2 linked regions of the Schizosaccharomyces pombe genome follow. Changing the gene in region 2 together with the main gene of any one other region gives a genetic interaction. Each region holds a gene or a part of one and is shown on either strand. Other genes may lie near its edges.

Region 1 (5,139 bases), on a different chromosome or scaffold from region 2:
ATTTTAGTAGCTTAGGTTAAATGGATATGCAATTTTTAGAGCCAGGATTATTGTATTTCATCTGTTTTATTGTTCATATTTAAATTTTCATGCAAATTAGGACTATGGAGGGTATTTACAGTATGTTTAAGTAGAAGTCTTTACACCATTATTTGTATTAAAGTAATTTGATAATTTTGGTTTTGAAAAGTACATCATAAATGTGATTTGAGTTTTAACTCGTTTGATAATTTCATCTAATTTACTGTAAGCATTAGAGATAAACCTGTACATATATTGGATAGATAGATAATCCACGCTTTTACAGATTACAGTATTGGATATGGAAAATTGATTAACAGCTTTTCTGCATTGCTGTTATCCACTTGCCCAGCAATAATATAAGAGCTTTACTGCACTAAATTGGCGTGAACGATGATGCTGAAAGAAAGACAAAAAATTAATAAAAATCAATATTAAAAAAAGACAGTCAACTGTTAACGAAACAGCAGTAAGCTACGACTCAAAGTAAGCACCAATTAAGATAAAAGACAGAGAAATTGAATGTTATATATTATTTTAAATAAGTTGAAATTAATCATGAACATTCCAAGAGTTAAGCCAACGAAGGCGATGGAAGTCGGATGCAGGTCCATGCATGCCGAAGGTTACATCCTTGAAATAAATAAAGACTCCGGCAATTATAGCATAAAGTGAGATAAACACAACTACGCGGACAATCTTAGGCATCTTTTTAGTAAACCAGTCAACAACGAAGGCTGCAGTGAAAGTCGATAAGGCATACGAAGGCTCGTAGTGATGAACATACAAAACACGTCCCATAATATAGTAGGGTAGGTAGTTAAAGAACCAGCCCAAAAATGGATAAATGCCGGCATAATGGAAAGTATCACAAGCTTCTTGAGACCATCTTAGCACACGACGACGCCAAGCTAAAACGGCTCCCACAACAAATAATGCAAAAACAATTAAGCTAGAAGTTGCAAACCAGTAAGCAACGGGGTTCCCTACCAGCAAATATTTGATTTGGTTATCGCCCCATCCGCACATTCGTAAGGTTGCTAAAAGGAAGGGCCATTGATATGCTTCACTGCGAAGGGCATCTAATTTATCTTCATCAGGAATAAGACCATTGTTAGCACGTAACATGGCGCGATTCAGGTGAAGAAAATCAGACCAAAAGGAAGAAGGATAATCGTTAATACTTCCTTCAGGAAGACGAGGATTAATATGCTCTTCAACATTCCATTGAGTGTCAGTATTTGATGGATCGGGGTCGGGATCACAATACATTTCGATTTGCCCAAAACCCCATGAAGGTAAACTAGAAGATGATGAACTCAAATAGCAGCCGACTACCGGGTTGTACAACTGAAAGACGGTAGAAAGAGAGCGTACGTTATACGCATCTCTGTGAGCAGTATCATACAAAATATTTACAATCCAATAATCCTTTTCATCTCCGACGTCACCCAAGCCATATCCAGAGACTTCATACATACGTTTGTTCAGAGGGGCAGGGATTTTGTGAGTGTGAAGATTACGGTTTGTAAAAGGATGAATTAAACGAACTACGCTTCCATTAAGAATAGGATTCATAGGATCGTTCTCCTCATAGTTATAGGCCACACCATGAGTAGGTACAAACATCCACTCATTGTTACCGTCTTTGTGATGATAACCAGTAACTTGCTGTTGCTCACTACCTTCAGGATACGTTTGAACGTGAGAATGCAAAAGTGCACCAGTTGGATTTCTGCTCTTCAATGTGAATTTACTGCCATACATTAGGTCAATAGGATTCTTGGTCAAAGGAGATCCTTCAAGGCGAGCCTGGAAAAGAGAAGGCATCTGAGCATCACCTGGTCCTGATCTGTAGAGAACAGCGAATTGGATCCAAAAAGTAAAGGCATAAATAAGGATAGGGAGGAAAATAAGCAGGCAGACGCGAGCAATCCAGTGGCCAGCATACGCCTTCCAAGTAACTCGCTTATCGTTCAATAAACACCACAACTCATCAACAGTATAAAGACCCACAACCGCTGTAATGAAGAGACCAACAAGCTTGACACTGCAAACGCAGCCAATGCAAACACCAGTCAAAAAGAGCCATTTAAACCAATAAAAGGTGAAGGGAGCCTTATGATAAACATGATATCTAGACAAGCAGAAAAATGTGCTGATAATAAAAAAAAGTAACATACTGTCTAATAGAATGAAGCGGCTGATGGTAGCCAAATGATTGTCCAACGCTACCATCAAAGTGCATAATGTAGCAGCTAGAAACGAATAATTAAAGTTTAATGCAGTAAAATAAACCAAAGGAATGCATAGAGTTCCAAACGCAGCATTCCAAAGTCTCATAAATTTGTAATTTAAATCCTCAGGATAGGTAGCACCAGAACTGAAATCGAAGCTACCATCATAGCCAACCAATTTGCCAGCAACAGCGTTAAGCATCTTACCCAAAGGTGGATGAACGTCAAAATAGAACTCATGCTTCAAATAATACGAGGCAAACTTGCCGAAATGGGCTTCATCCCAAATAACAACATTACTATCGGCAATTTTCCAAACACGAACAAAACCAGCGATAACGGTTAAGAGTAAAGGGACGAGAAAATAACCAAGAATGTAATATTTCTTATTGGTTTTAACTTCACCCAAAGCACTCTTGGTAGCGTCTTTTAACTCTTCCTTCTCATTTGCTACCTCATCCTCAATCTCACTATGCTTCGAAGGAAAGCGCTGGCGAAGCTGACCCGACTGAGCATGAAGCTGTTCATAGGACATTTTACAATGTACAACAAGCAAACAAAAATATAGCTTTTACTTCAGCTAATGCACCTATAGTCCGAGTTTGCTTTCTCAGGACACACACAATTTAACGAGCCCAAAACTTGATCGATACCAAAAGAAAACAAAAAGATCACTAGAGAAGAAAAGATGTCCTTTTCGACTCTAATTTCTCAACAAAATACAAGTCCAAATAAAGAGTGTTAAATGTTGGCTGAGGAAAGCAATAATAATGTATCAATCGCTGCGTAATTCAATGTTAATACAGAAGTGTAGCGAAGAGACCAACAATTTTTAAGAGTTTAAATAACTATGAATTTTAAGTAATGCAAAGTCTTTTTAGGGTAATCCAAACTGATTATCCCTATAGATTGCTAACGTAGTGCACCGATGTTTAGACATTGAAGTCAGAAAAAATCGCAGGTGTACCACATAAACTAGTGAGTATATTTTAGTAATAATATGTCTTATTATTTTGACCAGCAATGCTTGTACTTTATTTACTGACTCTGAAGTATGCCTACTATTTGTTACAATCGCCACGGTTTGTTACAGAAATTGCATTCTTATTAAGGGTAATTAATGATATCTTCTTAAATATAAAGTGATATTACAATAACACGTTAACATCGTTATTTCTATACCACAAGTGCTAACAGTAGTTTATGATATTGGAACTCCATCATATTATCGAGGTACTGAAAACATTATGAATTCAAAAATAAACCAATATCTTTATTTTCTCATGAAATCCATTAATAGCAAAATATTTTTTTCTGACTTTAAATACTGCTTTTTACCGAATTTGCTAAGATGGTTAGCGCACAACTACTTACTGCCACTCGATATTGATATGCAGGCTAGTATCCCTTATTAGCTCATTCTTATCACACATTGTGAATATGGAAGTAGTACACCATTCTAAGGTCAAATTTACGTTTGCAGCTTCCTTCCTTTTACCATATCTTTCAAGCTGTTTTGTTGAATCGAAACAAATCAAACAGCGACTGACTGAAAGCTCCCTTTAATGATCTTTAGGTAGAAAGGTATTTGCACCTGTATTTCGTGTAAGATTTATCGAATTTTTATTGAGATTCTTTACATTTCTTTTTCTTTTCTGTCTATTTTCCTCTTTGTTTGCGTCAATTCCTCATTTCTCCTTCCTTTTCGACCATTTCACAGTGTTCATAGAAGTCATTCATAACATCTGGTTAATGTTTCTGCGTTGATAATTACATATAAATTATAGAACTAATTTTCCTTCTTGTTATTGTCTATGTTTATAAATTGGACAGTATAAAAATGAGTTCTTCTATACCTCCAAGATTATATGATATGTCTCCTACGGAGTCCAAAAAGCAGGAAGATGTTTCTGAAACCGAGCTCGTATATCCAGTAGAATTGGCTGATGCTACTATACAGCCCAGCAAATCTGATGACGATTTATTCGACAGTAATGACTTTAGCAAAACTTATTTGGCAAAATCCCGTATCCTGAGTAATGCAATGAACGAAATTGGGTTTGGCAGATATCAATGGTATTTATTTTTTGTTGCAGGCTTTGGTTGGATGTCTGACAATATATGGCCTGTCTGCACATCTTTAATTTTAATGAGACTCGACGAAGTGGATGGACCACACCCTCCTGCTGAAGGTCGTGCTCCTTATTTAACGTTGTCTCAAAATTTGGGTTTATTGGTAGGCGCCATGGTTTGGTCGCTTTCTGCTGACACAATTGGGAGACGATGGGCTTTCAACCTTACATTTCTGTTTACCGGTGTGTTCGCTGTTATTGCTGGCGCCTCTCCTAACTTTGCTTCCATTTGTGTTTTTGATGCTTTATGGAGTTTTGGTGTGGGTGGTAACTTGCCTGTTGATTCGGCAATCTTTTTAGAAGCCTTACCTTCGTCTCACCAGTGGCTCCTCACAGTCATGTCCTTCTGGTGGGCCATTGGACAAGTGATTGCTAATTTGGTATCATGGGGTCTTATTTCTAACTTTTCATGTCCCGACGATGAATCTGTCTGTCATCGTGCAGACAATAAGGGTTGGCGATACTTTTTGTTTACGATGGGAGGAATGACCTTGTTGATGTTTGCTGCTAGGTTTCTTGTTTCTGTTTATGAGTCTCCAAAGTTTTACTTGGCAAAGGGTGATGATTATAAGGCTGTTGAAACTATTCATAAAATCGCTCGGATAAACGGAAAAACCTGCACTTTGACTGTTGAAGAGCTTTATGCTATTGATCGGCAAGAACAAGAAGAGTCTGACTTGGATGATTCTAAATCTAGTGACGCCAAGTCTGTTACACAAGGCACTACTAATCTCATTGTTGAAAAACTG
Region 2 (4,208 bases):
GTAGCCAGTATATAAGAACTTTACAGATTAAAGGGTTTGAATTGAAAAAATGATAAGAAACATAGATTAGTATTACCCACAGTAAGTTAAATAACTGCAGCTCGAAAACTATGCATGTGTATACGAAGCTACTTCTGTCAACACTATATACAAATAGTAGATCAACGCCTTAAATAAATCTATCCATCCCTTCAAAAGAAAAATCTTTGTTTGATACAGTAATACCAAAACAGCAGGATAAATAAAGTGAAGCATGACAAAGAAAAGGCAATGGTTTACATAGATCGTTGATAACATAGCGGCAAATGTGAATTTATTAGTTGACTTGCTTTTAATATTCAATTCCAAGTTGAGAATGAAACAACATACTGATATCTCATATATAGAACTGGGATGCACCTATAAACACAAGTAAAATGCACGAGTTCTTCCAAAGCCAGTAAAAGAAGAACAAGGCGAAGAAAGAAGGAGATAGAAAGAAAGTGATAAATCAGGAAGAGTGATTAAAATTACTTTAGCGAATTAGAAAAAAAGACGCAAAGACAAAGGACTAGAAAGAAAGAAAATAAGAGTGGACAATGGAACAGTAGGAGTGATAGTGCGGCATCTAAGAATTCTTTTACATGACAATAGTACCAGGAACCTCAATGTTAGCACTAATGCTCTTATGGGGTAAAATACTGCCACCATTTACGTAAATCTCGTCATTGACAACGACATCGTCGCCTAAGACGGACACGTTTTCCAAACGACTCCAAGATCCAAGGGTAGAGTTCCATCCTACAATACTCGATTTAACCCAGGCATGGTCGCGAACGCGAGAAGACTTAAGAATGGCACAACGTTGGAGACGAACACCATCACCAATCGTTACGTTGGGACCAATCACAACATTGGGACCAATTTTACAATTTTTGCCAATGGTTGCTGAGGGATCAATCAACACATTACCGATGATATTGCTACTAGCTGGGGCCAAGATTTCAGGCTTATGCTTACGCAAGGAGGATAAATACAAACAAGTACCGGTAAGATAATCCTTGGGTTGACCAACATCCATCCAATAACCCTCAAGGTCGAAAGAGTGTAATTGCTTGTCATTGACCATGGCGGGAAAGACTTCCTTTTCAATCGAGGTAGGACGAGGTTCAATACGGTCAAGAACGGAAGGGTTTAGAATGTAAATACCACCATTAATTCTGTTGGATACAAACTCAACAGGCTTTTCAACAAAGCGCTCAATCAAGGATTCTGAGTTGGGATAATGAACGACAACACCATACTTAGAAGGCTCCTCAACCTTGGTAACAACGATAGTACCCTCGGCACCATGAGCCTTATGGAAAGCTGCCAAATCCGCGAAAGGATACTCACAAATAACATCACTATTCAAGACGAAGAAAGGAGAGTGGTCTTTAGCAAGAATGTCACGAGCAAGAGCCAAAGGTCCAGCGGTTCCCAAAGGCTCATTCTCAACGGAGAAAGTAATATTAACGTTATACTCCTTTTCGTATTTTTTCAAAGCTTCTACCATGATTTCGGGACGGTAATTAACAGCCAAGACGATATCCGTGACACCAGCAGCTGCCAAAGCTTCGACTTGGTGAAGGATCATCGGCTTGTTACCAAATTCAACAAGAGGCTTGGGCAAAGTTAAAGTCAAAGGACGAAGACGAGTACCAAAGCCACCCACGAGAATCAGAGCCTTCATATTGTACGATAACTAAAAAGACAACCCTCAGTTAGTAAGGGAATAATCAAGAGGAGAAAAAAATGGAACAAGGAAAAAAAGGGACACTCTAGCATGCGGTTTCAATGTTAGTCATGTCCACGCAACCGCATATCAAGTGAAACGTCAAATCACAAAAGGAATCCACGTTCTTTCTTTCACTACTCCAATTTCCATATACTAACGAAAACAATATAAAAAAGAACATACCTTTTTATGAAAAGAAAGTGTTTCTATTTAAAATTAAAAACACTGGTTAGAAACCTTTGAACAAGTTTTAACTTGAAAGTCCCACTTATTTGTATGCTATGGGATGGTGTTGGGAGGAGGCAGGTTTGTAAAGCTGAGGGCGGGTTCCTCGGCTCTTCATCAACAAAGGGAAGGGAGAGTACCGTCACGTGCACATGGGCGCAGCATTGTTTCATGCGTTAACACATAATTAGTTAACAAAGCAGGATTCGTTCAGCTCGCTAATACTTGTGTAAATTTTGAGTAACAGGCCAATATCTGGTCTAACGAAATTTTCCGAAAGGACATTACTTTAGTACCTCCTTGATGTGTCAGATGTACACATTAAGGCACCATCAAAAATCCATATCCAATGTTATAGGAAACTGTTAATTGAATCATTGAAAATGAGATGAGACGACTAGTTTCCGGTCATCCATAAGCCAGACAAAATTTTATCCACGGTGGTAAACGAGGTATCAAAGCTATTTTAAAAAGAGCAAATAATGACGCAACAAAAGGTAAACAAGTAAAATGTTGCTTTGTTTACTTTTCGGTCTTCCATTGGAGATGCATGTCGACGGTTGTTGCAAACGAGGTGTTGGATATATTCAAACAAAACAATTGTAAGAACGTGTACGAGCTGAAGGAAATATGTGCTCAAAGACTTGACTTGAAGAAAGTCATGCTGAAATGAAGGATGGAGAGAAGGCAAATACTCTGGAAGTTGTTTATATTTAGTAAAGGAAGAGGTGTGTCGATGGTCGAAGCAGCAAAATGCTTAATACAAGAACAATATATTAACATCGTTCGCAACACTGGTGATAACTTTCCAATCAAAGACTTTATAACAATGCATTAAAGGTTGAAACACAAGAAACACCGATGATGGGGTTAACGAAGTATTCTTGTCGATTAAAGCCATATAATTACGGCTTGGGATAGAAATTTTCATGTACAGTGTCAAGATTGTCAATCCATGTACTAGTGAATATAGTCTAAAGAAAAGAAGCTTGATGATCGTTTCTAAAGACTTACAACGAGGTCACACTCGATTGTTTAATTCTGCTGAACTTTTTTTTTAATGTTGAAACATAATACGCAGGTTAAATCTGGAATAGTAATTCTGCAGTAACGCTTGTCCTATCCTTTTGGATACCTCTTGTTAGTTAACTTTTAAAACCCCAAGAGGAAACAACATCTTTCAAAAACTGTCTTTTCGATTAATTGCGAAATGGAGGTGTTCTCATGAAGAGGGAAGAGAAGAAGAACGTGTCCAATTTCAAAGCTCCAAAAACGAGTACTTTTAGAGTTAATTTTAAAATGTAAATGCTTACTGTATTTTTATAGTCCCGGGAAGTGTAAACACAATGAATCCATCATCTTCGCGTACTCAATTCTTTGAATTCACCAACGTTGCAAATTTGCAAAACTGAGAAGGAAAATAGGTCAAGTTGATATAGAAACAGTAGATTTATATGTCTTTATATTACAAATGATGGAATAAAAACATTTAAAGGGAAAAAAAGAATAGTTATGTGAAAAGTAAACACACAAAATAGCATTTGCTAAAATGGGTCTTTGCAAAATTTTAATCAAACATTCAAGATTTTGATAACACAGTTCTTTATTTTTTATTTTAACAACAAATATAGTATATTCTAATTCCATGCATGCATGGTAAATGCTCATTCATGCACTTTTCTTAGTAGGTATATATATATATATATACGATGATTCTAACGGGCTTTATTCTGCAATTTCATTTAAACACCAAAAGTCATACGGCTATTATATTTGACTCTTTCAGCTGGGAATTAAGTTTTGCTTTGATTTTTTGCCTTTTTCTTGTTCAATAACAATAGCTACTCTATTAATGTGAATAACACTTGTGCAATTAGGATGCTTGTATGGCTTCTTTACAGACATTGTTATCGATTGCTTACTAGCTAAATCAGCCGTTAATATACAAAAATGGTAATTGACTTAATAACAAAGAAACGTGTCAGGTCTGAAATATCGACTGTAGATATGAATGAATGCGCTCAGGTTGAGTATTCTTTTAATCGAAAAACTGAGTAAATCGATCTCCATATATTCATCGACTTTAAATCAACCTCCTTGGAACCGCAAACGTGGAAACCTTTCCCTTGTTGATGATCAAGCTGTCTGCTCCATTGTTTACAGACATGCAAAAAATCAAGCTTAAAGCACATTACCAACAAGAAGCGAACAACCCTCCAGAGTCACT

The links.
Region 1: of mpg1 (region 2) and ogm2, extra expression of one rescues a mutant of the other (dosage rescue), as found in Schizosaccharomyces pombe (one study listed by BioGRID).

What each region holds. Positions count from the first base shown.
Region 1 is NC_003424.3:3,311,295-3,316,433, reverse strand, and holds ogm2 (protein O-mannosyltransferase Ogm2), read right to left. Parts: upstream 3,013-5,139; 5' UTR 2,794-3,012; coding exon 574-2,793; 3' UTR 534-573; downstream 1-533. Other genes in the region: SPOM_SPAPB1E7.08C (transporter), read left to right, coding at 4,099-5,139.
Region 2 is NC_003421.2:2,010,345-2,014,552, reverse strand, and holds mpg1 (mannose-1-phosphate guanyltransferase Mpg1), read right to left. Parts: upstream 2,062-4,208; 5' UTR 1,940-2,061; intron 1,724-1,939; 5' UTR 1,712-1,723; coding exon 620-1,711; 3' UTR 553-619; downstream 1-552. Other genes in the region: SPOM_SPCC4F11.05 (uncharacterized protein), read right to left, coding at 3,764-3,906, 3,952-4,051.